Linked DNA regions of Cricetulus griseus. The protein of the gene in region 1 interacts with the protein of each later gene in a pairwise test. Links are inferred from orthologs where the notes say so. Each region holds a gene or a part of one and is shown in the gene's direction. Other genes may lie near its edges.

Region 1 (3,500 bases):
ATGTAAAGCCTATGCTTGATCTTAGATGTCTGGGTCTAGATCCCCTGCTCTTACCAACCACCTTCCCCTGATAAGTTACCTGAGATGTGTATATAAATTTCTTTCCAAGTTTATTCTCTAGTTCTGGCTGCCAATCACTTGTCTTTAGTTGACTGCTGGACATCTATAGTTATTTTTCTTAACACATAACAGAATTAAGCATCTTGAAGCTGTGGTTGTAGCTCGGTGGTAGAATGTGTTCTTAGCGAACAAAACCTGAGTGTCTTATTTTTTTTTTTTATCATCCTTCCAGATTCCCCTATTGGCAGCATCACTTATCTTTTCCTTAATGTTTGTTTATTGTCATTCTCCTTACCCCTCCATGTTCAGATCTTGTCAAAAGCTACTTAAGTTTTGTTTTTTTTTTAACATGTATTTATTTGTTGTGTGTACGTGTACATGTCTCACAGAGGACAACCTATGGGAGTCAATTCTCTCCTTCCACTGTGTGGATTTTGGGGATTAAACTTGATGGCAGGAACATTTACCTCCTGAGACATCTCAGCCATGTTTAATTCCTTAATTGCATTCTTAGTGTTTTGTGGTTGTACATGTGACATTTGCTTGCTGCTTTATTGTATAGGGGTGAAGATGGTTTTTCTTATTTCTCCTCTGTGTTTGATTACAGCACTGATGCAGGTGATAGCCCTGTTGGCACCACCACTGCAACCAACCTGGAACAGCCTCAGGTCATCCCCTCTCAAGGTGACCTCTTGGGGGATCTTTTAAATCTTGACCTGGGTCCCCCAGTGAACGTGCCACAAGTGTCCTCCATGCAGATGGGAGCCGTGGATCTTTTAGGAGGAGGACTGGATAGCCTGGTAAGCCTCTGCTTCTCTTTTGGTGTTTTTAGTTCTTGCTGGACTAGAGAACTTTATTTGGCTTTCCTTGGTGAACAGAAATGTCCTTTGTAAAGGACAGAATTATCTATCTTTAGAGACTTCATTACCATTCTGTTCATTATTGGGATGGAATATGTCTACATGTATACAGATTTATTATGTTGATCTGCTTATAAATAGAACTTCTGGTATTTAGTCAACATGTTATTTGGCTATCATAATTAATGATGTCCTTACCAGAGTTCATTATTTTTCCTACTTCTTAACTTCTTGTAAGTTGTCCTTTGGTCATGAGTATCATTAAAGTGGCTTAATAATGGTCACCATCTTTCAGGCCTTTAAACCTCTGCCTTGTTGGGTGTGGTGGTCTATACCTATAATCCCATCACTTGGGAGGAAAGGCAGGAGGATCAGAAGTTCAAGGTTAACCTTGGCTACAAAGTGAATTGGAGGCAAGCCTGAGTTACATGAGGTCCTGCTTCAATATGCACACACTTCCAAAAATAAATAAATAAAATAAATTAAAAAAAATATCTTCTGTCTTTTAAATAGTTATTGGTTTGTGCCTTTTCCAGCTCTGAAATGTTTTAAGGCAGTCATTTGAGCATTTTTGTCTAAAATGCACCTTTATTACAATTGAAAAGAACTGCTTGACTTTTCCCCTTCCTCTTCACTTCTGCCTTTGTCATACTTCCAATTTAATTAGCTTCCAGGATTCTAATAATAAAAGGTTCCAAAGTCCAGACTGTCTGTGGACATGGGCTACCAAGCCCATGTTGTCCAAGATGGAGAAATATCAAATGGCAACAGTCAGTGTCTGGGGAAAAGGCCAGGGAAATGATAGGTCACAAGGCTCCCTGCAAATCAGGTACTTAACCTTGGTGGACTTACAGAATAGGTGTCTGATACTCTGATGACTATCAAGATGCCTGACAAGTTGATGCATTTCCCAGCAACGTTGGAGGGCACACACTGTAGGTCAGAAATTTTCAGAGATGATAGAAACAGAACCACTTGTTCTCTTCTGTATATAATGCCGTTGTCTCTTAAGCTTCACGAAGACTGTGGTATTTGACTATAACATTTGGGCTTGACTGATTGTAGAACAGTATTGAGTCATCATTCTACATTGCTGTATGGTCTTTTAGAATCAAAGTAGACAAATAATTTAAGTATCATGGAGCTGCCCAGGAAATAAAAATAACTCTTGTTGTACTGATGTATCACTTATAGGTTGAATAATACATCCTCAGGTTTATGCTTTAACTTCCTACTGCTTTCCCTGGAGGGTTACTACGTGATGGATTCATTGAACCTATTCATTGACAATGGGTTTAGAGATTGAGGTGGAAAAGAGGCCCTGATTTTGATGTTTGCAGGTTCATAATTCTAATAGGTGGATGTATCCATAATACACAAAGATAAAACTCAGACTAAGTACTGATTCAGATAAAGAGGCTGTGGAAGGAGCTAAGGAGATGGTTAAGTCTTGAAGGGTAAGAACCTGAGTTTGGTTGCCAGCACCCACATATACAAAAACAAACAACAACAACAAAAAACAGGTAATAGTGGCACACATTTTAAGCCCAGTACTCAGAGGCAGAGACAGATGGATCCCTGGGGAATGCTGGCCAGCCATCATAGCCTAATTAGTGAGTGTAAAGGTTCTAAGAACTCACTTGAGGCTAGGCATAGTGGCCTTTAAGCCCAGCACTCAGGAGATAGAAGCAGGTGAGTTTGAGGCCAGCCTGTCTTCATAGGAAATTTCAGACCAGCTAGGGCTATAGTGTAAGACCCTTGTCTTTAAAAAAAAAAAAAAACAAAAAAAAAAAAAACAAAAACAAAATGTACATGGCACTTCTGTTTTCTTAGTTAATTAATTAAATGTATATGGGTGCTTTGTATTTTATGTCTGTGTACCACATGCATGCTTGGTGTCTTAGAGACACAAGAGGGCATCATATTTTTACTTTGGGCCCTTACTTTTACTTTGGATCTGTATGTAATTTAATGTATTCTTTTACAAGAGCATTAGAAGAGAAGCCCACATTTGGCAGTGTGGAAGATGAGCTTCTAAGGCATCAGTGAACTGTGAGACTTTAAAATTCCTGTTCCAGTTACCTAAAGAGGAAAATAATTCCAGTTTTCTTATAATCTGTATAAATAGTGCCATTTCTTAAATGAAACCTTGCCTTATAGTAGCATTTCATAAAACTATATAATGTATATACAAATCTTGTACCAGAGAGATCCTGATTTAGTTAGGCTCTGGTAAAACTTAGTAGTCTGTATTTGGGGTTTTGTTTTGGTTGGTTGTGTTTGTTTCTTTGTGTGTGTGTGTGTGTGTGTGTGTGTGTGTGTGTTGTGTTAGATGACAGCCTTGGGTGTTGGTCCTGGCCTTCCACCTTGTTTTTGAGGCAGGATTTTTTTATTGTTGTTAATTGTTTTTTTGTTGTTGTTGTTGTTATTGTTGACAGGTTCTTCATATGTAGCCTAAGCTAGCCTCAAATTGACAATCCTCCTGCCTCAGTATCCCTAGTGCTGGGATTGTAGGCATGTGCCACAAGACCCAACATTAGTGTTGGGTATTAACTCAACCTTACTCCATGGAGGTCAGTG
Region 2 (3,500 bases), about 3.4 Mb from region 1:
ACTATCAGGTAACGAACACCAGACCTTTATATGGATTGAGATCTTTGTATAGATATTCTGTCCTCTAATTGCACATTTCCCTTGTTTAGGATCGTGGATATTTTGAAGAACTCATTACCATGTTGGAGGCAGCCTTGGGACTAGAACGAGCTCACATGGGAATGTTTACCGAACTAGCTATTTTGTATTCTAAATTCAAGCCACAGAAAATGAGGGAACACCTGGAGTTGTTCTGGTCGAGAGTGAATATTCCTAAGGTAACAATCTTCACCACTGTAAGGCAGCTCTAATCATTTAGGCTGATAGCAGGAGTTGGGCTTACATCTTACACGACTGGTCTATGTTGTGCAGGTGCTGAGAGCTGCAGAACAAGCCCACCTTTGGGCAGAGCTGGTGTTCCTGTATGACAAGTATGAAGAGTATGATAATGCCATAATCACCATGATGAACCATCCCACTGATGCATGGAAGGAAGGGCAGTTCAAAGACATCATCACCAAGGTATATACCTTCAGAGATATGGGCTGTGGAAAGACAGGGCTCGTTGGGGACGAACTGGCTTTTAATGCATGGGTTTCTCCTATTTTAGGTGGCCAATGTGGAGCTGTACTACAGAGCAATCCAGTTCTACTTAGAATTCAAGCCTCTGTTGTTAAATGACTTGCTTATGGTGCTGTCTCCACGGTTGGATCACACTCGTGCTGTCAATTATTTCAGCAAGGTAACCATTTCAAACCGACTTCATAGTGAAGATTCATAGACCTTCAACCATGGCTATCTTTCTAACAAACTTTATTTTAAAGGTTAAACAGCTACCACTGGTGAAACCATATTTACGCTCAGTTCAGAACCACAACAACAAATCTGTGAATGAGTCACTGAACAACCTCTTTATTACAGAAGAAGATTACCAGGTAAAACCTTTGGATTCTTGTAAATACTTAAAACATGGTTCTGATTAGGTTTAAAGTTGGCTTTAAACAGGTTCTGTGGTAAAAGCTACTGTTACCTTTACATTTATAAAGAAGCAGGCACGTGGGTGCCTAGGCTTCTTCAGTTAGTCCATAAAACTTACTTGTTATTAAGTACTTAACTATTACTTTTCTTTAAAAAAAAAAAAAACTATTACTTTTCTTTATTTTAGTATTTGTCTCATATTTTAGTATTTGTCTTTTAAATTTGCTTTTGTGAAAGATAGCACATAAATAGAAAATGTCTAGGTTAAGCTAGTTGCCTTGTTTTCTTTCACTTAATAATTGTTGACCTGACTGGAACTTGCCTAGTAGTGCATAAAGTGCAGTCTTGCCTCAGAATCTGGCTTCTGGATCAGCATGATTCCTTTAGGCTCATAGTCTAGCCTGTAAGGCTGAATATCATGTAATTTTATGAATTATTTCCTGGCAGCATAAGTTGTTGTCCATATTACATATTCTCCCAGCTCCATAGCTATTCAAGTTAGTATCAGTACTGGAAACCTTGGAGCAGATTGCCCTTTCAGAAAATTGTGCAGTACATTTGAGGATTTTATTTATTGTATTAGAAGTAGATGAAGAAGATTGACATCTGAATCCAGCTTACAACTTTTGTAGTTTGATGCTTGAATCTATGTTGTTATATTTTATGCTATCATCTAATTGCCTGCATCAAAATGAATTGTGAAAAATAAATGTTAAAAGTAAAAGCCTTTTTGACTTTTGAATTGCTTTGTCTCTTAAGGCTCTACGAACATCAATAGATGCTTATGACAACTTTGACAATATCTCACTTGCTCAGCGTTTGGAAAAACATGAACTCATTGAATTCAGAAGAATTGCTGCTTATCTCTTCAAAGGCAACAATCGCTGGAAACAGAGCGTAGAGCTGTGCAAGAAAGACAGCCTTTACAAGGTTGATAAAGTGGGGGTGGGCTGTCCAATCAACTCAGATAGTGTCTTACAAGTGTTAGTTTCATGGGTATGAGAATTGGTAGTGTAACTCTCTTTTGTGAATGTGGTCTTTTAGTCAGTGGGGTTTTGTTTTGTTTTGTTTTGTTTTTTAACTTCCAGGACTGGTTTGTGTCAGCATCCTTGGATAAACCTCTAACCTTCATTGTTTCTCTGAATAGGACGCGATGCAGTATGCCTCTGAATCTAAAGATACAGAATTGGCTGAAGAACTCCTACAGTGGTTTTTGCAGGAAGAAAAAAGAGAGTGCTTCGGGGCTTGTCTCTTTACCTGTTATGATCTTTTAAGGCCAGATGTCGTCCTGGAAACGGCATGGAGGCACAATATCATGGATTTTGCCATGCCCTATTTCATCCAGGTCATGAAGGAATATTTGACCAAGGTAATGACGCTTAGAAGTATATTCAAAACTAATAATCTTGAGAATATGTGCAATTCTACATGCATATTAGTTTTATTTTTTCTAATATAAATTGTTTAGTTGATCATAAAATGTTCCTATTACATAGAATTTTTCTTAAGTGTTGACAGATGCCATGACTAGGAAGGGAACTCAAGCTTGTCATTGTTTACCCTCTCTGTATTCTTCAAGTGAATAGCACTCTCTGTTTTAATATTTGAGATCTTTTAAAATAGCATTTTAAAATTAATTCCTATAACTCAGATTTCCATATATACTTCTGTAGACTCCCTTTGGTTTCTGACTTCATGTCTTTACCTGTTTCCCATGGGGAAGCTCTGTTGTATTAACAGCCTGCTAGTCATCACAGATTTTTTTTTTGGTAATCAGATATCTAATTTAAAAATACAATAGGAAATTTGCAATTACCCATGTTTCCTAAATACACATTAAATAAACTGAGGAGACAGCCACTTTATAAAATTTACTGTTCATGTTAGCATCTCTTTTTAATGTTAGAATAGATTTTGCTTGTCCTGAGTTACTAGCTATGCATAGAAAAATAATATTAAAAGATCCATTTTTGTCAGAACAAATCAAGTCTCACTTCTGTTCTCTTCAGCATGCCTGAGTACAAGTGGGGGAAACACTACAAATAAACCCCAGGATAGAAAGTTTTTTCCTCAAGGGATCACCTACCTACATACCTCATGTTGCACTTAGATTTTTTTTTAAGGGAATAATATTTTATGTAAGTTCAGTTCAGTGTGATTAAAAGAGTTACCCCAGTTTAGCCCCAGGGGAGCCAAGCTTCTTTTCTTATGCATAATGCCACCTTTTGAGACCTGGCTGCTGTTAACCTAAGTGCTGTCCATTACTAGCCATTAAGCTGCTTCCTTTCACACTGACTTAGCATAAATACTTCTGCAGTGAGCTTTGAAGTTAAAAGGATTCTCAATTTTGCTTCCGTTTGCCCTTGACTTCCACTTCGCTCCTACCTTTTTTAGTGGGTACATGTTTCTCCCCTGAACCTTTGTTGCTGATTCTACCTTTTTATGCTCAATATGGAATTTGATTTTTTTCTAAGCTGCACCTTCTGAATTCCTTTGCAGGTTGATGCAATAAAGGAAAAGGTGAAAGTTGATTCTTTTCCATC
Region 3 (4,198 bases), on another chromosome or scaffold:
TCGAACTCAGAGATCTGTCTGCCTCAGCCTCTTGAGTGCTGGGACTAAAGGCGTGCACCACCAATGAACGCCTGGCTGCTATTACTTCTGTATGGCTTGTGGTAGGCTGGTCAGGAGTGGCTGGTGTGGGCTGTGTGTGTGGCTCTGGTTTGGCCTGGGGTGCCTGGTCATGAGTTGTTTGGCTGGTGGTGGTCTGGCCTAGACGGTTGTGAGCTCTGACTGTTCGTGTCCTGCTGGTAATGCACCCCTTGCCCTGCCTTCCCAACAACCCCACACCAGCTATATACACTCATCTTCTCGTCTGCCATTGTGCAAATCAGACAGTGGTACCTGGCAGGCCCAGGTCATGTCCCCAACTTATCTCCCACTAGTCCTTCTTTGAGAGGCTAAGTGGGGAAGAAATATGCCCTGGGGCTGCTTGGTCACCCTCCTGTGGCTTCAGTTCCATGTGGAAGTGTTTCCAAGCTCAGTCTAGAGTCCCACAGATGAGGATGCAGAGGGTGGGGGTACGGACAAGAGGGGCTAAGCTGCTCACAGGCAGATCACACCGTAAGCCTCCTGACCTTGGCTTGTGGGTGAGGTTAGGGAGTGGCCGCAGGGGCAGACAGCACAGCGAGGGCCATGCGGAGAGAGGCCTTTGTCCTTCCTCATTCAGCATGTCCTCCTGGCCTGGAATGCTGCCACCCGCTCCTCTGCTCCATCAGCCTGGCAATGACCCTGCTCTGACAGGGAGGAATCAATTTAGGGCCAAACAAGGACCTCTCTGGTGTCCTTGGCTTTCTTTTTGCTGCCTTTTGATCTGCCCTGCCCCTGGCTCTCTCTGGTGCCTATGAGAGCTTGGTATGGATGCTGCAGGAGAGGGCTCTGCTGTTCTCCAAACCACCAGCCAGCCCAGGGATCCCGTGGGCGCATGCCCTATGTCTGAGCTATTTTCTGTGGAGATTTCTGGAGTTCCCTTCTGCTTCCATGTGGGTACCTTCCAGTTTCATCTGCCTCTGCCGTGTGGTGTGCCTTCCCTGGTCTCACATACCATATTTGTGAACACTGAGCCCCCCTCCCCCTTTTTGTCTGACTTTGTCCACTTGCCCATACTCCTGGTAGGCGAGTTTTGTGGTGATATGTGTCCAGGACACACCAGCTGGAAGGATGTGGGGTCTCTCTGCCCAGCTCCCCAGCACCAGTTAGCCTGGCAAAGGAGCAGCTTGGAGAGAACAAAGGGGCCTGCTCTATAGATATTTGGGGTGCAGTGGCTGTGAGGGGTCTGCAGATGGGTTGTGAGAAGTCTGGGGAGAGGGAGATTGGAAAGTGCCATCAAGAGGGCAGGTGTCTGTGGGGCTGGCTTGTGGCCATGTAAACCTGTGGTGCCTCCTCCCCAACAGATTCCAGGTGTCCTGCTCCTACCTGAAGGGCATGGGGCCCTCGCGTGTTCCCAGAAGGACCGTTCTCTTCCAGCGGGAGAGGACGGGCCTGACCTACCGCGTGCCTGCGCTGCTCAGTGTGCCTCCCAGGCCTACCCTGCTGGCCTTTGCAGAACAGCGACTCAGCCCTGATGATTCCCATGCTCACCGCCTGGTGCTGAGGAGGGGGACACTGGCCAAGGGCTCAGTGCGGGTGAGTGCAAAGCGCTGAGGGGAAACGGAAGCCCAGCTCTACTGATCCCTCTGGAGACTAAGGTCAGGCTCCAGATGTCTTGACCAGCTGCCTCTTTTTCTTAGTGGGGCACCCTGAGTGTGCTGGAGACTGCGGTGCTGGAGGGGCACAGGTCTATGAACCCTTGCCCGGTGCTGGACGAACACTCGGGTACCATCTTCCTCTTCTTCATTGCGGTGCTGGGCCACACGCCCGAGGCCGTGCAGATCGCCACTGGCAAGAACGCTGCTCGGCTCTGTTGTGTGACCAGCTGTGATGCGGGCCTCACCTGGGGCAGTGTGCGAGACCTCACTGAGGAGGTCATTGGTGCAGCATTGCGGGGTAGGTGACACCTGGTGTGGGATGGGCTGGTGGTGTGGGGCGGAGGAATTGAGTGGGTAGGAACAGGACAGGGCAAGATGGGCTTGGGCTTGACCCTTGCATAGGCCCACCAGTCACTTGGAAATCTTCATTCTGCCTCTCCTATCCTCAGTTTCTTGCCCCACAACCCCCAAGAGCAATGACTTCCTAACACTGTCTCCAGGACTGTCTGGCATTCCCCAAGCGCCTTCAGTGTTGGCAGGGCGGCAGCTAAAGCCCACCAGGGGCTCCCTTTGTCTTGGTCTGTAGAGGAGAGGGTTGGGGCTCTTATTCTCTTTTACCACTTCCTTTTGCTTTTCGCCTCCTCCTCATCCAGCCCTGGTCTCTGGCCCCCGTCATTTTTTCCACCTCTGCAGTCCCCACCTGCAGTTGCTGACTCTGTTTCACTACCCGACTCCTGCTGATAGGCGTGGCCCTAGGGGCTACAGGACCAGGCCCATGACTGCTACTTAGAGGGGTGTGGCAGCTTCTGGGAGGTGGACAAGGACAGTGGGCACATCCAAAAACCTCACCCACGGTCTCCTCCCTTTACCACCCTTGTGTAATAGCACTTGCTCCAGAAGTTGAGCTCTGCTGGTGATCATTAAGCCTCTGTTGGCTAACAGCTGGGGAACCGCTCTGTGGTAGACCACTTGTTTGGCCCGGTTTCTGTGCTTTGCACCCCCAAACAAAAAGCAAAAGTCTCCCAAGTGGCTGGAGAGATGACTCAGAGTGAAGAGCTTGTATGGCTTACAGCTCTTGCAGAGAACTGGAGTTCGGTTCCCTGCACCTGAATTGGGTGGCTCACAATTGCCTGTAACTCCAGCTCCAGGGCATCTGCCACCTCTAGCCTCTATGGGCACCTGCACTTATGTGCACACCCTCCAAATGCACATAACTAAAGATGTATTTATTATGTATACATGTATGCCTGCAGGCCAGAAGAGGGCACCAGATCTCATTACAGATGGTTGTGAGCCACCATATGGTTTCTGGGAATTGAACTTAGGACCTCTGGAAGAGCTGCCAGGGCTGTTACTCTCTGAGCCACCTCTCCAGCCTCCCCCCAACCCCAATGCACATCATTAAAAATAAGTCTTTTAAAAACTTTAAGAAGGCATTTGACCGAGCAGGCTCCCAGGATTATGCAGTCAGATGACCCAACCCAAGGTTCTGGCTCCTTCTTTCTGTAGACTGGGCCACCTTTGCTGTGGGTCCAGGCCATGGAGTTCAGCTGCGCTCAGGTCGCCTGCTTGTCCCTGCCTACACCTACCACGTGGACCGCCGAGAGTGTTTCGGCAGGATCTGCTGGACCAGTCCCCACTCCTTGGCCTTTTACAGTGATGACCATGGAATCTCCTGGCACTGTGGAGGCCTTGTGCCCAACCTGCGCTCTGGAGAGTGCCAACTGGCTGCCGTGGGTGGAGACTTTCTCTACTGCAATGCCCGGAGCCCTCTGGGCAACCGGGTGCAGGCACTGAGTGCTGATGAGGGCACCTCCTTCCTGCCAGGGGAGCTGGTGCCTACACTGGCAGAAACTGCCCGTGGCTGCCAGGGTAGCATTGTGGGCTTCCCAGCCCCACCCTCCAGCAGGCCTCAGGATGACCGGTGGCCCGTGGGTCCTGGGAATACCCCACATTCCCCATGCTTCTATCTCAGAGTACAGGAGGCTTCAGGGGAAGGTGCTGGGGGTCCTGTTGAAGGTTGGGTTCCCAGAGGGCCATTCTGCACCCCACAGACCTGGGGTCTAGGGAATCATGGCTCAGAACCTGGGCCAGGTGGAGATAAGACAGTCTGGAGCCCAGAACTCCCTGTGTCCTCTGCTTCCCTGCTTCAGAGTCCCACATGGCTGCTGTATTCCCACCCGTCAGAGCGTAGAGCTCGGCTCCACATGGGAATCTACCTGAGCCGGTCCCCCTTGGACCCCCATAGCTGGACAGATCCCTGGGTGATCTATGAGGGCCCCAGTGGCTACTCCGACCTAGCGTTCCTTGGGGCTGTGCCTGGGGCGTCCCTGGCCTTTGCCTGTTTGTTTGAGAGCGGGATCAGGGCCTCCTACGAAGACATCTCTTTTTGCTTGTTCTCATTGGCTGATGTCCTGGAGAATGTACCCACTGGCCTAGAGATACGCAGCCCCAGGGACAAGCCTCAGGGGCATTGCTGGCCCTCTTGATGGCCTGGCCCTCTGGCAGGCACCTGGGGAGGAAGG
Region 4 (3,500 bases), on another chromosome or scaffold:
ACCATGACCAAGGCAACTCTTAGAAAAGAAAGCATTTAGTTGGGGGCTAGCTTACAGTCTGGGGGGGGGTCCCCGGTCTGCTGTCGTCACGGTGGGGAGCATGATGGCAGGCACGGAAGGCATGGCACTAGAAAAGGAGCTGAGGGCTACATCATGATCCACAAGCAGCCAGCCTAGTGTGGCCTTTTGAAACCTCAATGCCCACCCTCAGTAACACCCTTCATCCAACAAAGGCCACTGCTTGGTGACTAAACATTCAAATATATGAGCCTATGGGGGCCATTCTTACTCAAACCACAACATTCCACTCTCGGGTCCCCAAAGGGTTACAGCCATTTCAAAATGCAAAATACAATTAGTCCAACTACAAAAATCCCCATAGTCTTTCACAGTCCCAACACTATTTAAAACTCTAAAGTTCAAAGTCTCTTATGAGACTCATGGCAGTTTCTTAACTGTAACCTCCTGTAAAATCAAAAGGCAGATCACATACTTCCAACATAAAATGGCACAGAGCATGCATTGCCATTCCAAAAGGGAGCATAGTGAGGAAATACCAACCAAAGTAAGACCAAAGACTCATTGGCCATACTTCAAACTCTGCATCTCAATGTCTGATGTCAAAGTGCTTTTCAGATCTCCAACTCCTTTCAGCTTTGTTGATTATAACATACTTCCTTCTCTGGGGTTGGTTCCATTCCCTGTTAGCAGTTTTCGTTGGCAGGTAACCCATTGCTCTGGCATCTCCAACATCTTAGGGTCTCCAGGGCAGTCATGGCCTCCTCTCTGGGCCTCCATTCAGGGACAGCCCTGACACACACCTGGCCTCGGGAGCTTTCCTTAGCCATGGATGATTCCAAAACCTCTTTCTTGTATTGTTGACTCTAAATTCAGTTTCGTGGCTGAAGCTGCCAAGTTCTTCTGCTTGATGGGGCTGAACCTGCCCACTCTTCCAGTTACATTTTCATCATCAGGTTGTGTTTATGGTTTCCTTCGCTGCTTAAGCTTTTCTTCACAAGTTGGGAGCATAGCTGGGTGGAGTCTTGCCCTGAAGTCACCACTCCCTTTATTCCATTTAATATCAGACTTTTCTTTAAACTTTTCATCTTGAGTACTGGACTTAGCTCCTGGTACCCTTTTCTCCTCAAACTGCACATTTTGTGTTTCTCTTTGACCAGCTAGGATGTCTGAAAATCTCTGCCAATCCATCAGAAACTCTTCAATTTAATCTCAGGCAGATTTTTAGGACAAGACAGGAAGCGGCCACATTCTTTGCCATAATATCCCAAGAACAATCTCTAGGCCACTTACTGCTATTCTGCCCTTCTGAAACCTCAGTACTGTCTTCCATGCTCCTACTGTTATGACCCATTAAGGCTTGCTTAAAGCGTTGAACCACTTTTTAGTCCAGAATTCACAATTCACCAACAGGCAGCATGGTCAGGCTTGTCACATCAACACCATTCCCTGGTACCAACTTCTGTCTTAGTTACTGTTCTGTTGCTGTGAATGACACCGTGATCAAGGCAGCTCTTATAATAGAAAGCATTTAATTGGGGGCTGGCTAACCGCTTCCAAGGCTCACTCCATTATTGTCATCAGCAAGGGCAGCATGGCAGCAAGCATGGCAGGATGACAGGCATGGAGAAGTAGCTGAGTGCCACATCCTGATCCAAAGCATGGGGGGGGGGGCGTGAGCACCTGGTGTGGGCCTTTGAAACTCAATGCCACCCTCCAGTGACACTTTTCACCAGCACACCTACTCCAACAAAGCTGTATCTCTTAATCCTTCTCTCAATTAGGGCCACTGCTTGGTGACTGAGCATTCAAACATATGAGCCTATGGGGGCCATTCTTATTCACACCACCAGGGTTAACAGCACTGGCTTCTCTTCTCCTGAGTTCAATTTTCAGTACCCACATGGTAGCTCACAACTGTCTATCTCCAGTCCTGGGGATCTAACACCCTCTTCTGACTTCCATGGACACTCGGTATGCATGTGGTACAGACAGACATGCAGGGAAAACACCAATATATACTTTTCTTTTAGAAGTAGTTCTGGCTGTTTGTGCTGTGTGTAGAGTGACGCACTGTATGTTCTTTCTAGGCCTGAGCTAGTAGTGTCCTACTTGCCTCCTGGGATGGCTAGCAAAATCAACACTAAAGGTAAGAGGCAGCACCTCAGGGCATGAACACATTACATTCTTTGCTACTGTTCCTATGTCACGTGGGTCATATTCCATTATCACCATGGCCTTTGGTTTATTTCTTTGCTTTTAAGCTGTTTTACTTAGTGGATCTCTTTGTCTGTGTTGTGTTTTCTTGCCATCTCGGATATTGGCATCCTCCTTCATCCCTGTCTCCACAGCTTGTTGGCATTCATGTGGAGGGTTACACTGCCGTTTAATGCATCGGGTTTCTTTGAAAAGAGCCAAACTGTATGATTGTGTTTAATTCTCTGCTTTTGCAAAGCACCCTCTGTGGTTTTTCATGCAGCTTGCAAAGGTAATCTTGCACTTTGCCTTACAGCATTGCAGTCCCCAAAACGACCACGAAGCCCTGGGAGCAACTCCAAGGTTCCTGAGATTGAAGTCACGGTGGAAGGTGAGCCGTCCCACACTTTTCTCTTGATTCTTTACCTTACAGTTGTGTGGACTCAGTAACTCTGCTGCCTTTGAGGTTTTGTCTGAAAAACAACTGATGCTAAATTTATTAATTTTTTCTTTTTAATTGTTTTTCAAGACAGAGTTTCTCTGTGTAACAACCTTGTCTGTCCTGGGACTCGCTTGGTAGACCAGGCTGGCTTCAAACTCACTGAGATTCACCTACCTCTGCCTCCCAAGTGCTGGGACTAAAGGCTTGAACCACCACCACCCAGCGAATATTTTGCTTTTTAATGCATGAGTATGTATGTGTGCTCTCGAGTGTGTGTGCATGCGTGTGTGGGCGTTCATTGTTACAGGCTATCTCAGGTGTCACCCTCAGGAACACTGTCCATGTGCTTTGAGATAGGTCCCCTTTTTGGACCTTGACCTAGCTGGGTAGTCTAGACTGGCTGCTCTTGAGCCCCAGGGATCCATGTAGCTAGGGATCAAACTTTGGTGACTCAGCTACCTCCCTGGCATAATTTATGACTGTTTGTAATCTGAGGGTCCTGTGAGGGTTACTTGAGGGGAACCCCTTGGATTGTTTATCCATAGTCAGGCAGACCAAGCCCAGAGAGATGTTTCTCATCTTTTTCCTGGTGGTTTTTCCTACTTTTGATGAAATGCATTTATAGGTGGTTTGAATAACAGTGTGCTTGTTCAGAGCAGCTCTGTGTCTTCACATATATTCTCTTCCGGCCTCTGGTGTAGGCCTGTGAACTTTGGAAGCTCATTGTCTAAAACGGCTGACATAGTAACAGGCAGCCCTGAACCCTGGAACTGCTAGGCACATTGTTTTCATCGACGCAGAAGGAAGCAACTGCCTAGGGGACAGTTGATTCTTTTTGATCCTC
Region 5 (4,119 bases), on another chromosome or scaffold:
GTCTTCGTGGGAGTGGGAACGTGAGGGAGAGCTCGAGGGCATGCAGGGCGGTGACTCCGGGAGTGGAGCACTTGCCTCAAGTGCACAAAATCCCGGGTTCGATTCTGAGCACCCCATAAACCAGAAGCGTGTGCAAGCAACCCCCGCACTCAGAAGGCGGAGCCAGGGAGAGGAGTTCAAGGCCGTCCTCTATTAATTAGTGAGTTCCTCACCAGCTGGGACTAAACTATATGAGACCCTGACCCTGACTCAAAAAAAAAAAAAAAAGAAAGACTTCCTTACTCATGATAGAGATAATTGTTAGCGCCACGTCATACAGAATCAGTCTTTCTTTTCTGAGCCTTTGCTGCTAAATTCAAATAAACCAGGTAAAAAGAGTCCCGGAAACAGAATTTGAGCAGACCCCAAGCCGGTTCTGTTCTCTGTTCTGAGCGATCTGTTCCCTCTTTCCTGTCCAAGGACTGCCTGGGTGCAGAAAATCAAAGCTGCCTCTGAACTCTACATAGAGACCGAGAAAAAGAAGCGCGAGAAGGCGTACCTGGGTAACGTGGCTGAACGGAGGGCGAGCGGGGCGGGGCGGGAGAGCCACCGAGTCCAGCGGGTGTCTCTGGGGCTGGAACTCGTGCATGCGCAGGAATGGCGCGAGCGAGGTGGGGCAGGAGGATGGACGGAGTGTGCGAGGGGGCTTCGCGCTCTAGCGGGACAGATGCTCCGCAGGCTGCCGGCCGACGAGCTGCGGGGGGGGGGGGGGCATCAAAGCGAACTTTGTGTTGTTTTCTTGCGGTCTAGTCCGCTCCCAGCGAGCAACCGGTATCGGAAGGTTGATGGTGAACGTCGTAGAAGGCATTGAGTTGAAGCCCTGTCGGTCACATGGTAAGGGCCGTGAGTCCCGCCCTTCATCCTCCACCCTAACCAGCCTGACATTATCTGTGCTATTGCTTGTGTAAATTTCCTGCTGATGTTTGGTTTTCTAGAATGCCAAAGAGCCATATGTACACACGTACACACACACACACACACACACACACACACACACACATACATATGCATATTGACACACACACATACTATATATATATATATATATATATATATATATATATATGACACGATACATATTGACACACACACACATACATACATATATATATATACACACACATATATTGACACACACACACACACACACACACACATAATTTTTGTAAGTTCTTTTCTATTGTCCTGCTTTTCAGTAAGACCTGAGAGGTCGCATTCACAGTACGAGTGGAATACATCACACATGATATAATGTGCACAGATAGAAGGGATCTGGCTTTGGAGCCTTGTTAATGGATTTGTTAATCTAGATGTGATACCAAAATATGGGCGTGTCCACAGATTTCCCACTTGTTAATCTCCAAGGTTGAGGGGGATGGAAATGAAATGTGTCCCACCTGGCAGGGGCTTTTGTTCACTCCAGGAAAGAGCAACCCGTACTGTGAGGTGACCATGGGCTCTCAATGCCACATCACCAAGACAATCCAGGACACACTGAACCCTAAGTGGAATTCCAACTGCCAGTTCTTCATCAGAGACCTGGAACAGGAAGTTCTCTGCATCACTGTGTTTGAGAGGGACCAGTTCTCACCTGATGGTGAGTGGAAAATGGCCCTCAGGGCACCCTTGGTCCTGCCCCATCCTCTTACAGGGAGGGGTACATGCTTTCCTGAACCCAAGCCTGGCACTCCTGGAGTTCCCTAGAGATTAGGTTGGCGTTGTGCAAGGAGCTGCTGGAGCCAACTGAGTGGGTGTGGGCAGGAAGGGCTGGGGCTGGTTGCTTCACTGATCTAGACAAAGACTAAAGTGATCTGCTTTCCAGCACAGGCAGCTATGAGAAAGGGCATGCCTAGAAACCTAGATGTAGTTTCTTTTGTTTTTCTGTCCTTGGCTCATCAAGGCTCAATAAGTAAAGACACTTGGTTGCCAAACCTGATGGTTTGAGTTTGATCCCTAGGATTGACACAGTGGAAGGGGACTCCTGTCAGTTATCCTCTATCTCAACACGTGCTGTGGTGTGTACACGGGCAAACACATACACACACAAAGTAAATAAGTAAATGTTTAAAAGAGCAATGATGTAGCCACATTTGGTGGTTCACACCTATAATCCCAGCATTCGAGAGGCCGAGACAGGAATTATGAGTTTGAAACCAGTGGGGCTACATAAGGAGACCCTGTTAAAAATGTAAAAGATGGGGCTGGAGAGATGGCTCAGAGGTTAAGAGCACTGACTGCTCTTCCAGAGGTCCTGAGTTCAATTCCCAGTAACCACATGGTGGCTCACAGCCATCCGTTATGAGATATGGTGCCCTCTTCTGGCCTGCAGGCATTCATGTAGGCAGAACACTGTATACATGATAAATAAATAAATAAATAAATATGTAAAAGATGGGCTGGAGAAATGGCTTAATGGTTAAGAGCACTAGCTCCTTGCCCAGCTTTAAGAATAATGTTTATGCATTTGCCTACATGAGTTTGTGTGCAACACATGCATGTAGGAGCCCATGGGAGCCAGAAGATGGTGTTGGATGCCCTGGAATTAGAGTCGCAAGTGGTTGTGAGACACTGGGTGGGATACTGGGAACCCAAATCAGGTCCTCTGGACGAGCAGCATGTGTTCCTAACTGCTGAGCCGTCTCTCCAGCCCACTCCTGGCTTTCTTTTTAAATACAGACCCTGGGGACCAAATTTATGTCCTTGTGTTTGCAAGGCAAGTACTTTTACTGACCCATCCATCTCCTTGACCCTATTAATATACTTTAAAATGGACGCAGAATATATTCTGTGGGCTATCGCAGTAAGTATATATGATATGTAACAGTAAATGGGTAGTTGGTATACACATTACCTTGGATATATTTTATTTTGCTTTATTGAGAATATTTTAAAACTTTCTTTGGTTTTCTAGCAGTGAGATACTATGGTGCATTGACCACTCCATGGGGAAGTAAACTGGGAACAACGCCAGTGCTGGTCTTACAAGCAGCCTTAGAGGAGGTGGACCCTGGCGGTGTCGTAGGGGATCCCCAGTGTGACCGACATGCACCTTGGAGACAAGGAACTCTTTCTGAGTATGCTTTGCTTTCTCTCCTTTCAGATTTTTTGGGTCGGACAGAGATCCGAGTGGCTGACATCAAGAAAGACCAGGGCTCCAAGGGGCCAGTTACCAAGTGTCTCCTGCTGCACGAGGTCCCCACGGGGGAGATTGTGGTCCGCCTTGACCTGCAGTTGTTTGATGAGCCATAGCCACCCCGGATGATCATGAAGGACTTCCTCTCAAGGCCCCATGTGCTGTCTGGTGGTCAGCCATGGGGCAACAGGGACAGCAGAGACAAAGGTCCCTCAAGGCTCCTAGGAGTAGTTCTCGACAATCCTGCTCTTCAAACCATGTCCCGTTTTATGAATCCAGATTCTCTTTTCCTTTGTCCCCATTACAGGTCTCATCATGCCTTCTAGAGTCTCTGAAATCCACAATCTTAAACTAGGTTCCCCTGGGAGCCTAGATCCTTCCCCTGGCTGGAGGTGTGGGTCTGGTTACTATAAAATAGATTTATAAATGCAGTGACTGTATTTTGGAGAACTTGTGTAGGCCTCCTATTTCTCCCCTCTAGCAGCCCCTTTGTAAACTACCTGGCCTATGATGCCCGGTGCGTGGTGTGTTTAGTCCGATTGTGATGGAATTGTTGCTGCTTTGGAGTCCAGCTCCCACTGGGAAATGGGGCCCTGGATTGAAAGCTCGTCGTAATGACTCGTGGAGCAGGCACTGACTTAGCTCTCCCGAGAGCCATTACTGGAAGATTCTCAAGTGTGCGTTAGAGCTGTTCAGACCTGGATTAGTGTCTCAGTGGAAACACACTGGTGTTCTGTGGAGTGGTTCATGGTGTGCTTGGAGAATGGTTCTGGAAGCTCATCTATGAAGTTCCGTCCTGATGAATTAGATCCATTTCGGGTCCCTGGGAAGGCTTGATGGCATGGAAGCTCACCTATGAAGTTGTGTCCTGATGAGTTTTGGGGCACTGGGAAGGCTCCATGACATTATTGAGTCCTGGTTGCCGGCTATTATCGGAACATTCTCTG
Region 6 (3,971 bases), on another chromosome or scaffold:
ATATATAGGCTTTCCCAGACAGGGTTTCTCTGTATTGCTTTGGAGCCTGTCCCGGAACTTGCTCTGTAGACCAGGATGACCTGGAACTCAACAGAGATCCGCCTGCCTCTGCCTCCCGACTGCTGGGATTAAAGGTATGCACCATTAACGCCAGGCGCAATATATATATTTGGTTTTTCGAGACAGGGTTTTTCTGTGTAGCTTTGGAGCCTATCCTGGTACTCTCTCTGGAGACCAGGCTGGCCTCGAACTCACAGAGATCCGCCTGTCTCTGCCTCCCGAGTGCTGGGATTAAAGGCGTGCGCCCCCAACGCCCGGCTTCGCAATAAATATTTTTAAAAGGAAAAGAAAAAAGAAAAAGAGCCAAGCATTGGTGGCACACACCAGGGCCGGAGAGATGGCTCAGAGGTTAGGAGCACTGTTCTTCCAGAGATCCTGAGTTTAATTCCCAGCAACCACATGATGGCTCACAACCATCTGCTGGCACGCAGGCCGAAGACTGTATACATAATAAATAAATAAATAAATAAATAAATAAATAAATAAGAATTGAGTCAAGAAAAATCTTGTTCCAAACTAGATTCCAGGATAAACCAGCGAAATGACTTTGGGAACGCTCCCATCTCACCTGTGCAAAGTAGTCAATTAGAATCTTCTCTGTGGGGTTGAGGATTAAGTGTTCCCGAGAAATGTGATGCAGGGCACAGACGTTAGCATTTAAAGGGCTCATTTGCTTCATCCGGGTCAGCCCTCCGTTTTGTTCAGCGACGACAGTGGTAAACTATGCAGAGACGAGTACTGGAGAGCGTGCCACACAGCACACACACGTGTCACTGCTAGCCCCATTATCTCTCCATCACTCCTAAACGCCCCTTTCCCAGCTGCTTCATCTCCTCCATCCTCATGTCCTACCGGAAGGCCCCCTGCTGGGTGGTCCGGGCGGCACGGTTACACCCTGAAGCACGCAATCTCCGCAGCCGCTCACCTCGCTAAGGTGGCTTCTAAGAGCCAGCTGGCAACCCTCCACACCTACTTCCCCCTGATCTCCCCTTTGTTGTGACGCCCCAAACCACTTGAAGCCACAACACACCCCCGGAAGTGAGCAGAACGGGGGGGGGGGCGTTCCCGTCCGGCCAGAGAGGAGGCGGAACTAATGATACAGCCCGCGTTTCCCGACCGGGCGGGAGAGCCGTGAGCACTGAGCGTCCGGGTGCGCCGCGGGAGCCCGGGAGCTCGGGACAACCTAAGCGCTGCTCCCGCGACATGGCTTTCAATTTTGGGGCTCCTTCGGGCACTTCTGGCACCTCTGCAGCTACCGCCGCACCCGCGGGTGAGTCAGCCCCTGGACCACCTTCTTCCGAGGAACGGAAGCCTTGGGCCCGCCCCCTCGGTCCGATACCGTCCGGCTGGGGGTCCGTGGTGGCCCTGGCACGCGAGACACCGTGAGGACATTTGGAAAGGGCGGGCGGCGAAGGTGGGAGGGCCGCGGGCTGCTCAGGCTGGGCCTGGGGCTCGCAGGGCGCGCGCATCCCGCGTGGCCGGGCCGCCGTGTCGCTTCCCGCCACCGGGGACTCCGCCCGGGAGGCTACGCCCCTCTTCCCTTCCTGGGGCCCCGCGACCCCTCGGCCGCCTCGGCCGCCTCGGCCTCCCGGCCCAGAGGGCCAAGGCTGGAGCCAGGCTACCCGCAGCGCCCTCCGTTCCCTCCCCAGCCTGGGGGATGCTGACCCCGGCCCCTGGTGCCCTTGCTCCTCTGTGTGTCCCCGCCTCCTTGGCTCTCTTAACCGGTTCCGGCGCCGCTCAGGTTTATTCACGCTGTGAAACCTCTTGCTGATTCTTGTTAATTCTTATCTTGCTTTCTTTTCCTTTTCTCTTCCCCTCCTCTCACGTTTTCAAATTTTCTCTGCCTCCACGTCTATCAGGATTTGGTGGGCTTGAGACTGCCAACTCCACCGCCAGTGGGTTTAATTTTGGGGGTTTCGGATTAACTGCTAACCCTGCAGTGAACTTTAATATTGGGAATTTCGGTGTTTCTACCACCTCGGCGACTCCATTCAATTTTGGTAACAGTCTGACGAGTGCAGGTAGATACTGCGGGTCATGTGTGTAACGAGGGTTGGGGGCTGGAGTCCAAGAATGTTCCGATGTTCCTAGAGTTTGAGGGAAAAAAATGGCACTTGTCTGCTAAGGGAAGGGTTCGTTTCCTGAGGTCAAATTGAGTGTATGTCAAGTTTTGACTTGTCTTAAAAGATGTGGTTTTTTTTGGACAGCCTTGAGAATTAAAATGCTCCTTTGTTGGGTTTGCATTTAATCATACGGAGTACAGCTTCAAAATGATAAGAATTTGCAATGGAGTTTATTTTGGATAGAATGTTTTTCAAATTATTAGCTGCGGTATAAGCTCAGCGTTTCCCTGGGATTCTTGGACTCCTGCAGTCGTTTTTCATTTTTTATACATATTCCATCGGGATTTCATCTTATTGTCCTTGTGTTTCCAAGAGAAACAAGTCTTATACGAACAGCGGTGACCTGTCTTGTTTTTCAATCTGTATAATGACGTTTTTCTTCCATCAACACGTTAGTATGTATTCCTGTAAGAGATGGAATCATAGAAAGAATCTCCAATTCTTTGCTGCCATTTTTTGGGAAAGTCTCTATGAGCAGTGTAATTTACGAGATGACATTGAGTTCTAAAACTCAAGCTAGACATCTCTGCATTTGAAAAGAATTACGAAGATTTTTTTTTAATCTACGGGTTTGAAGAATACTAAAAGATTTCAGAACACAAATATGATGGGTGTGTATGTCCCAATTTAAAGTAGGCTTATGAAAGCTCAGCATAAATGACCCTTGAAAAAATCGTGACCCTCAGCTGCTCGTATATGAATTTACTGTCCATAGTCTATGTTATGCCACTTCTGCCCATGCCAATTATTTGCATTTGGTAAACATCTCTTCCTGAACTTACTTGGAGAGCCAGATATTGTGTCAATTCAATGAGTTGAAAATAATGTGAAATACACTTGAAAATTTCAAAGATAAAGTGACTCATTAAGATACATTAGAAGTGTTTGCATATCACTGCCCTTGCTGTGTTTGCTTTTCCTATTTTGCTTAAAATTGGCACTGGGCAAACCTTATTTTGAAATTTATGTTTCAGAATAAAGCAAACCACATAGTTCAACAGCAACAAATAAACCTGTTTGTATTTGCTTGATTTCATGTCCGTTTGAAGTTGTCACTGTTAAAGTTTTGAGTTGTATGAATATAATTGTTTTGATTGCTTTCAAATATGTTAATTTAGCCTCAGCAAAGAGCTTTAAAACAACATTTTTTGTATCCATACTGGTCTACTATTACTAATAAAGCATTTTTGGTATTTTAAAATGTGGTAAGTTACTAACTAGTGTTTTTGTTGTGTGGTCAATAACAGTTACTCTTTGAATGCAGGGAGTTAAAAGGGAACTAAAGACAGTACTTATTTTAGGTGTTTCATCAAAATGTTTAACTGGCAGCATTGCAGTAGACTCCACTGAGTTACGTGTGTGCAATAGCCTATGCACTAATTTTCTAAATCTGAATTGTATTGTTAAGGGTCAGAGAGTGTAGCCTAATGATAGAGTATTTGCCTGCCTACTATATGCAAGGTCCTGGATTTAATACCCAGAACCACAAAATTGATTAAAACTAGTTAAATTTTTTTGAAACAGCTTTTTACTGTGTAGCCTAGGCTCATTTAGAAGTTCTAATCTTGCTTTAGCTCCTTTAATGGGATTGCAGGCACATACCATCACACCTGTTCTATGTTGCAATCTTTATGAGGCTATCCATTTACAAGAAATATATGAGGTTCAAGTTAGAATCTCAGAAAACCTGGAGTATAACTCAGCATTTATGGTTCAAATGTTTGTTTTCAAAGTCTTTTGCAGCATATTTATGAATAGGTAACTACTGCCATACTCTTTTTAAAAATT
Region 7 (3,991 bases), on another chromosome or scaffold:
GAGGACCTAGTGGCCTTTGTCGCCCCCTAACGGCTTAACGGCTGTGCAAGAAATGTTTCTTCCCTAGCAGAGCATCAGGTCGCTGGCTCCTGGGAGGTTTGGGGTGCTTTTCCCCATCCTCCGCAAAACGGTATCCCAGCAATTGGAAGGATGATCTTGAGTTTAAGGCCAACCTGGGCTATTCAATAATGAAGTTGGGAAACAAAGAACAAAGTCAAGTGTGGTGGCTCGTGCCTGTAATCTCAGGACTTGTAAGACCGAGGGCAGTCTGAACCGCATAATGGCCAGGTCATCCTCGATTATCATCTCATCCTTCCTTGTAGAATAGAAAATAATACAAAAAACAGGCCAGGCGTAGTGGCGCCTTTAATCCCAGAACGCGGGGGCAGAGGCAGCGGATTTGAGGCCAGTCTGGTCTACAGAGCGAGTTCCAGGGCTACACAGGGAAACCCTGTTTTGAAAAACAAAAAAACAAAAAACAAAAAGCAAAACCAACCAACGAACCAAACTAAAATAAACGGACGTAGTAAAATGTATAGTGTGAGCGAATGAGAGGGACCAGCATCTCTGAACATCTAGTGGTGGGCACTGGGGCACGAACAGAAACCGTCTGGTCTGTGTGGGTGACAGAACCAGCTACACAAACTCGGGATTGGTCGGTCCGGACGGCTGCCTGGCGGACGGACCGAGGCTTGGGTGGGTGGACACGTGAACCTATGGCGGACCCGGGGTAGTGATGGCTGTGTGTGGGAGGGTGACCGGCGGGTCGCGGGTGTGTACGGGTGGAGGGACGGGTGTGTGAGGGGGTGGTGGGCGGATGGATAATTGGGTAGGCGGATGAGATGCTGAATAGACACACCCACGGACGCGCGGTGGGCGAGTGGACCGATCCAAGGATCAATGTCCTGGCGTCTCTTCATCCACCCGGGCATCCTTCATCGCCAGAAGAACCTGAGACAGGGCAGTTGTCACACCCCAAGTTCTGCCTTTCCCAGTATGACGTCTGCTGCCTACCTCGCGGCTCACCTGGCGGCCTCCCCTTTAAGACGCGCTCACCTGGCGGCCTCCCCTTTAAGACGCGCTCACCTGGCCGCCTCCCTCACCTGGGTGAGGGAGCTTCCGCAGGAAGAAGGAAGCTGCGCCGCCGCCTCTGCCTCTCGCCCCCGCCTCTCGGCGTCTACGGCCGCCACCATGTCCGCCTCGGCAGTCTTCATTCTGGACGTCAAGGGCAAGGTGAGGAGGGGGCAAGGGGCTGAGGGAGCCCGGGGGAGGCCGCGGGCCCAGGGCGCAGGACCCGGAGCTGGGGACCCGCGCTCTCCAGCCCGCGTCTGTGGCAAGGGGCTTCGCTTCTTGCCTCAGTTTCCCTGCATGTAAAATGGGAATACGAGCGCTCTGAACCAGTGAGCACAGCCCTTCTACAACCCGTGAGCTTGATAAATTTGCACAGTGTAACTAACTGGAGGAAGGCCTCCACACTCTCCTTGCAAGTTGCCGGCCCCTTCCGCAGTGACAGTGACAGCGGTAGATGAAAACTAGAGCCCTGTAGTAAAATGACAGGGCTGGGCATGGGCCTCAGTTGTGAGCCGACTAGGTTTGATCCCAGAACAATGCATAAACACCCACAATTCCAGCACTTGCAGGGTGGAGGCAGGAGGGAATTTGGAGCTACGTGATACACTGCCTCAAAATCAAACAGGTTCAACGAGTGAGTGAAGGCACTGGCTGCCCAGGCTTGGTGACCTGAGCTTCAGCCTCAAACCTCAGTAAGGGGAAAAGAAACAACCCACAAAATTGTCCTCTGACCACATACACCCTAGCCGTGAACCCACACCACCTCACACCCATCATGCACACAGAGAAAATAAAAATGCCTGTAAAAACACACAATGACGCCGGGAGTGCTGGGATTAACAGCACTCGGGAGGCAGAGGCAGGTGGATCTCTGTGAGTTCGAGGCCAGCCTGGTTTACAAGAGCTAATTCCAGGACAGCCTCCAAAGCTACAGAGAAACCAAGTCTGGAAAAACAAAAACAAACAAACAAAAAAACCCACAATGACAATGGGAGCCAGGCGGTGGTGGTGCCTGTCTCGGGAGACCCGGGCAGGTGGATCTCTGTGAGTTTGAGACCAGTCTGGTCTACAGAGTGAGTTCCAGGACAGCCTCCAAGTGAAAAGCTGTCTTTTTTTTTTTTTTTTTTTTTTTTTTTTAACTTTTTGAGACAGGGTTTCTCTGTGTAGCTTTGAACTCACAGAGATTTGCCTGCCTCTGCCTCCTGGGTGCCGGGATTAAAGGCCTGCGCCCCTACCACCCAGCTCTCTTCTTACTCACATCTATCCTTCCACCATGTGGGTGCTGGGGATGGATCTCAGGCTATCAGGCTTGGTGGCAAGACCCTTCATCCCCTGAGCTCTCTCACAACCCCCCTCTACTTTTTGTTTTGAAATGTTTGAGTTACCTAGCCCTGCTTCAAATTCACTCCTTAGCTTAGGAAACCCTGTCTCAAAAACCAAAAAAATTAAAAAAAAAATAGGAGAAGGAAAGGCAGGCTAGGGATGTAGTTTACTTGGTAGAGGATTTGTAATCGTTGCTCTAGGTAGGTGGAAGCAGAGGATCAGGAGTTCAAGTTCATCCTCAGCTACATTTGTATTTAAGGCTAGCCTAGGCTACATGAGGAACTATCTCACCATCCTCTCCATAAAACAAAATAGAGGCCAGATGTGTATGGGAAAGAAGGAGAGTAAGAGAGAAGAGAATTGGGACATCGTAAGTCCCTGTGCCCTAAGTTGGGTACTGGTGGTGACTGAGTTCTCTCTACCCACCCTTAGCCCCTGATTAGCCGAAACTACAAAGGTGATGTACCCATGACGGAGATTGACCACTTCATGCCACTGCTTATGCAGCGTGAGGAGGAGGGCGTGCTGGCGCCACTGCTGAGCCATGGGCGAGTGCACTTCCTGTGGATCAAACACAGCAATCTCTACTGCATCCACCCTTGCCGGTCCGGAGTGCCAGGAACTGGATCCTGAGGGCAATGCACTGAGAACAGTTTACACAGTGCATGGGGTAAGGGCCAGTAGAAATGGGGTGGGGTCTGCAGGGGACATGTCACACCCCTTTTCCTTAACCTTCCTGTACCAGTGGTGGCCACCACGCTGAAGAATGCCAATGCCTCTCTGGTGTACTCCTTTCTGTACAAGACAGTGGAGGTAGGTACTGGCCTCTCATTGGCTAGCTGGTTTGTCTTTTCTACTTGGTATGCTCACCCTGTTGGTTGCCTCCTTAGTCAGTCTTCTGACCCCGCCCATCAAAGCCTCCTCACTCTACTCTGACAACTGGGCTAGGAAGAGGCTCTCCCAGATCAGAGATCACACTTCTCTGCTCTGTGACCTTCAGCAAATCGCTTGTTTCTGTGCCTGTGAACCCAAGAGAGGTTCTGGTGTAATGGGAAGGGAAGAAAGGGATAGCAGAAAAGGGGGCCGTGGAGGTGAAGTAATACAGAGGAACTGTCCCCAGCTGAGGACACAGCGAACAAAAAAGTGTTGAGGTGTAAATAGAATGGAGGAGGCTATGGGATTTGATCAGAACAAGCTTCAAATGTTGACTAAGTCCATCTCCCCTTCCAGGAGTTGCAGGCTGGGCAATAGTATGCTTAGTGCTGGGAGAGAGCCAGATCTCGGATGTTTTCAGATGTCAGAATCTTTGTATATGTATAGTGTATATGTATAGTGAGGCATCCTAGGGATAGACCAAAGACTTCTGTAAATGTGTTTATGTTACTTGTATACCTTACATACATCCGGAAGGTTTTTTTTTTTTTTAATGTTTTCTTTCCTTCCTTCCTCTCAGCCCCCCTGGGTTTTTTTCTTTTAAATAACCTTTTTGTTGTTGTTGTTGTTTTTTAAAGATTTTATTTATTTATTATGTATACAACATTCTGCTTCCATGTATATCTGCACACCAGAAGAGGGAATCAAATCTCGTAATGGATGG

The links.
Region 2: the proteins of Ap2b1 (region 1) and Cltc interact in a two-hybrid assay, tested with the Homo sapiens proteins (2 studies listed by BioGRID, with this or other methods). The link is inferred for Cricetulus griseus from reciprocal best matches to the Homo sapiens genes AP2B1 and CLTC.
Region 3: the proteins of Ap2b1 (region 1) and Neu4 interact in binary tests that used the Homo sapiens proteins (3 or more experiments, as listed by UniProt). The two-hybrid records come from large-scale screens. The link is inferred for Cricetulus griseus from reciprocal best matches to the Homo sapiens genes AP2B1 and NEU4.
Region 4: the proteins of Ap2b1 (region 1) and Gtf2i interact in binary tests that used the Homo sapiens proteins (3 or more experiments, as listed by UniProt). The link is inferred for Cricetulus griseus from reciprocal best matches to the Homo sapiens genes AP2B1 and GTF2I.
Region 5: the proteins of Ap2b1 (region 1) and Itsn1 interact in binary tests that used the Homo sapiens proteins (3 or more experiments, as listed by UniProt). The link is inferred for Cricetulus griseus from reciprocal best matches to the Homo sapiens genes AP2B1 and ITSN1.
Region 6: the proteins of Ap2b1 (region 1) and Nup54 interact in binary tests that used the Homo sapiens proteins (3 or more experiments, as listed by UniProt). The two-hybrid records come from large-scale screens. The link is inferred for Cricetulus griseus from reciprocal best matches to the Homo sapiens genes AP2B1 and NUP54.
Region 7: the proteins of Ap2b1 (region 1) and Ap1m2 interact in binary tests that used the Homo sapiens proteins (3 or more experiments, as listed by UniProt). The two-hybrid records come from large-scale screens. The link is inferred for Cricetulus griseus from reciprocal best matches to the Homo sapiens genes AP2B1 and AP1M2.

The regions. Positions count from the first base shown.
Region 1 is NC_048600.1:96,585,657-96,589,156, forward strand, and holds part of Ap2b1 (AP-2 complex subunit beta), read left to right. Parts: intron 1-667; coding exon 668-860; intron 861-3,500. UniProt on the Homo sapiens protein: Component of the adaptor protein complex 2 (AP-2). Adaptor protein complexes function in protein transport via transport vesicles in different membrane traffic pathways.
Region 2 is NC_048600.1:99,942,533-99,946,032, reverse strand, and holds part of Cltc (clathrin heavy chain 1), read left to right. Parts: coding exon 1-8; intron 9-89; coding exon 90-257; intron 258-351; coding exon 352-501; intron 502-589; coding exon 590-721; intron 722-803; coding exon 804-914; intron 915-1,716; coding exon 1,717-1,887; intron 1,888-2,104; coding exon 2,105-2,326; intron 2,327-3,456; coding exon 3,457-3,477; intron 3,478-3,500. UniProt on the Homo sapiens protein: Clathrin is the major protein of the polyhedral coat of coated pits and vesicles. Two different adapter protein complexes link the clathrin lattice either to the plasma membrane or to the trans-Golgi network.
Region 3 is NC_048595.1:445,312,329-445,316,526, reverse strand, and holds Neu4 (sialidase-4), read left to right. Parts: upstream 1-1,398; 5' UTR 1,399-1,410; coding exon 1,411-1,611; intron 1,612-1,715; coding exon 1,716-1,971; intron 1,972-3,182; coding exon 3,183-4,162; downstream 4,163-4,198. UniProt on the Homo sapiens protein: Exo-alpha-sialidase that catalyzes the hydrolytic cleavage of the terminal sialic acid (N-acetylneuraminic acid, Neu5Ac) of a glycan moiety in the catabolism of glycolipids, glycoproteins and oligosacharides.
Region 4 is NC_048597.1:113,349,401-113,352,900, reverse strand, and holds part of Gtf2i (general transcription factor II-I), read left to right. Parts: intron 1-2,108; coding exon 2,109-2,167; intron 2,168-2,530; coding exon 2,531-2,605; intron 2,606-3,500. UniProt on the Homo sapiens protein: Interacts with the basal transcription machinery by coordinating the formation of a multiprotein complex at the C-FOS promoter, and linking specific signal responsive activator complexes.
Region 5 is NC_048597.1:5,872,658-5,876,776, reverse strand, and holds the end of Itsn1 (intersectin-1), read left to right. Parts: intron 1-459; coding exon 460-542; intron 543-789; coding exon 790-873; intron 874-1,462; coding exon 1,463-1,636; intron 1,637-3,139; coding exon 3,140-3,288; 3' UTR 3,289-3,619; downstream 3,620-4,119. UniProt on the Homo sapiens protein: Adapter protein that provides a link between the endocytic membrane traffic and the actin assembly machinery. Acts as a guanine nucleotide exchange factor (GEF) for CDC42, and thereby stimulates actin nucleation mediated by WASL and the ARP2/3 complex.
Region 6 is NW_023276807.1:157,236,986-157,240,956, reverse strand, and holds the start of Nup54 (nucleoporin p54), read left to right. Parts: upstream 1-1,171; 5' UTR 1,172-1,263; coding exon 1,264-1,330; intron 1,331-1,919; coding exon 1,920-2,081; intron 2,082-3,971. UniProt on the Homo sapiens protein: Component of the nuclear pore complex, a complex required for the trafficking across the nuclear membrane.
Region 7 is NC_048597.1:134,164,171-134,168,161, reverse strand, and holds the start of Ap1m2 (AP-1 complex subunit mu-2), read left to right. Parts: upstream 1-1,191; coding exon 1,192-1,233; intron 1,234-2,826; coding exon 2,827-2,983; intron 2,984-3,139; coding exon 3,140-3,207; intron 3,208-3,991. UniProt on the Homo sapiens protein: Subunit of clathrin-associated adaptor protein complex 1 that plays a role in protein sorting in the trans-Golgi network (TGN) and endosomes.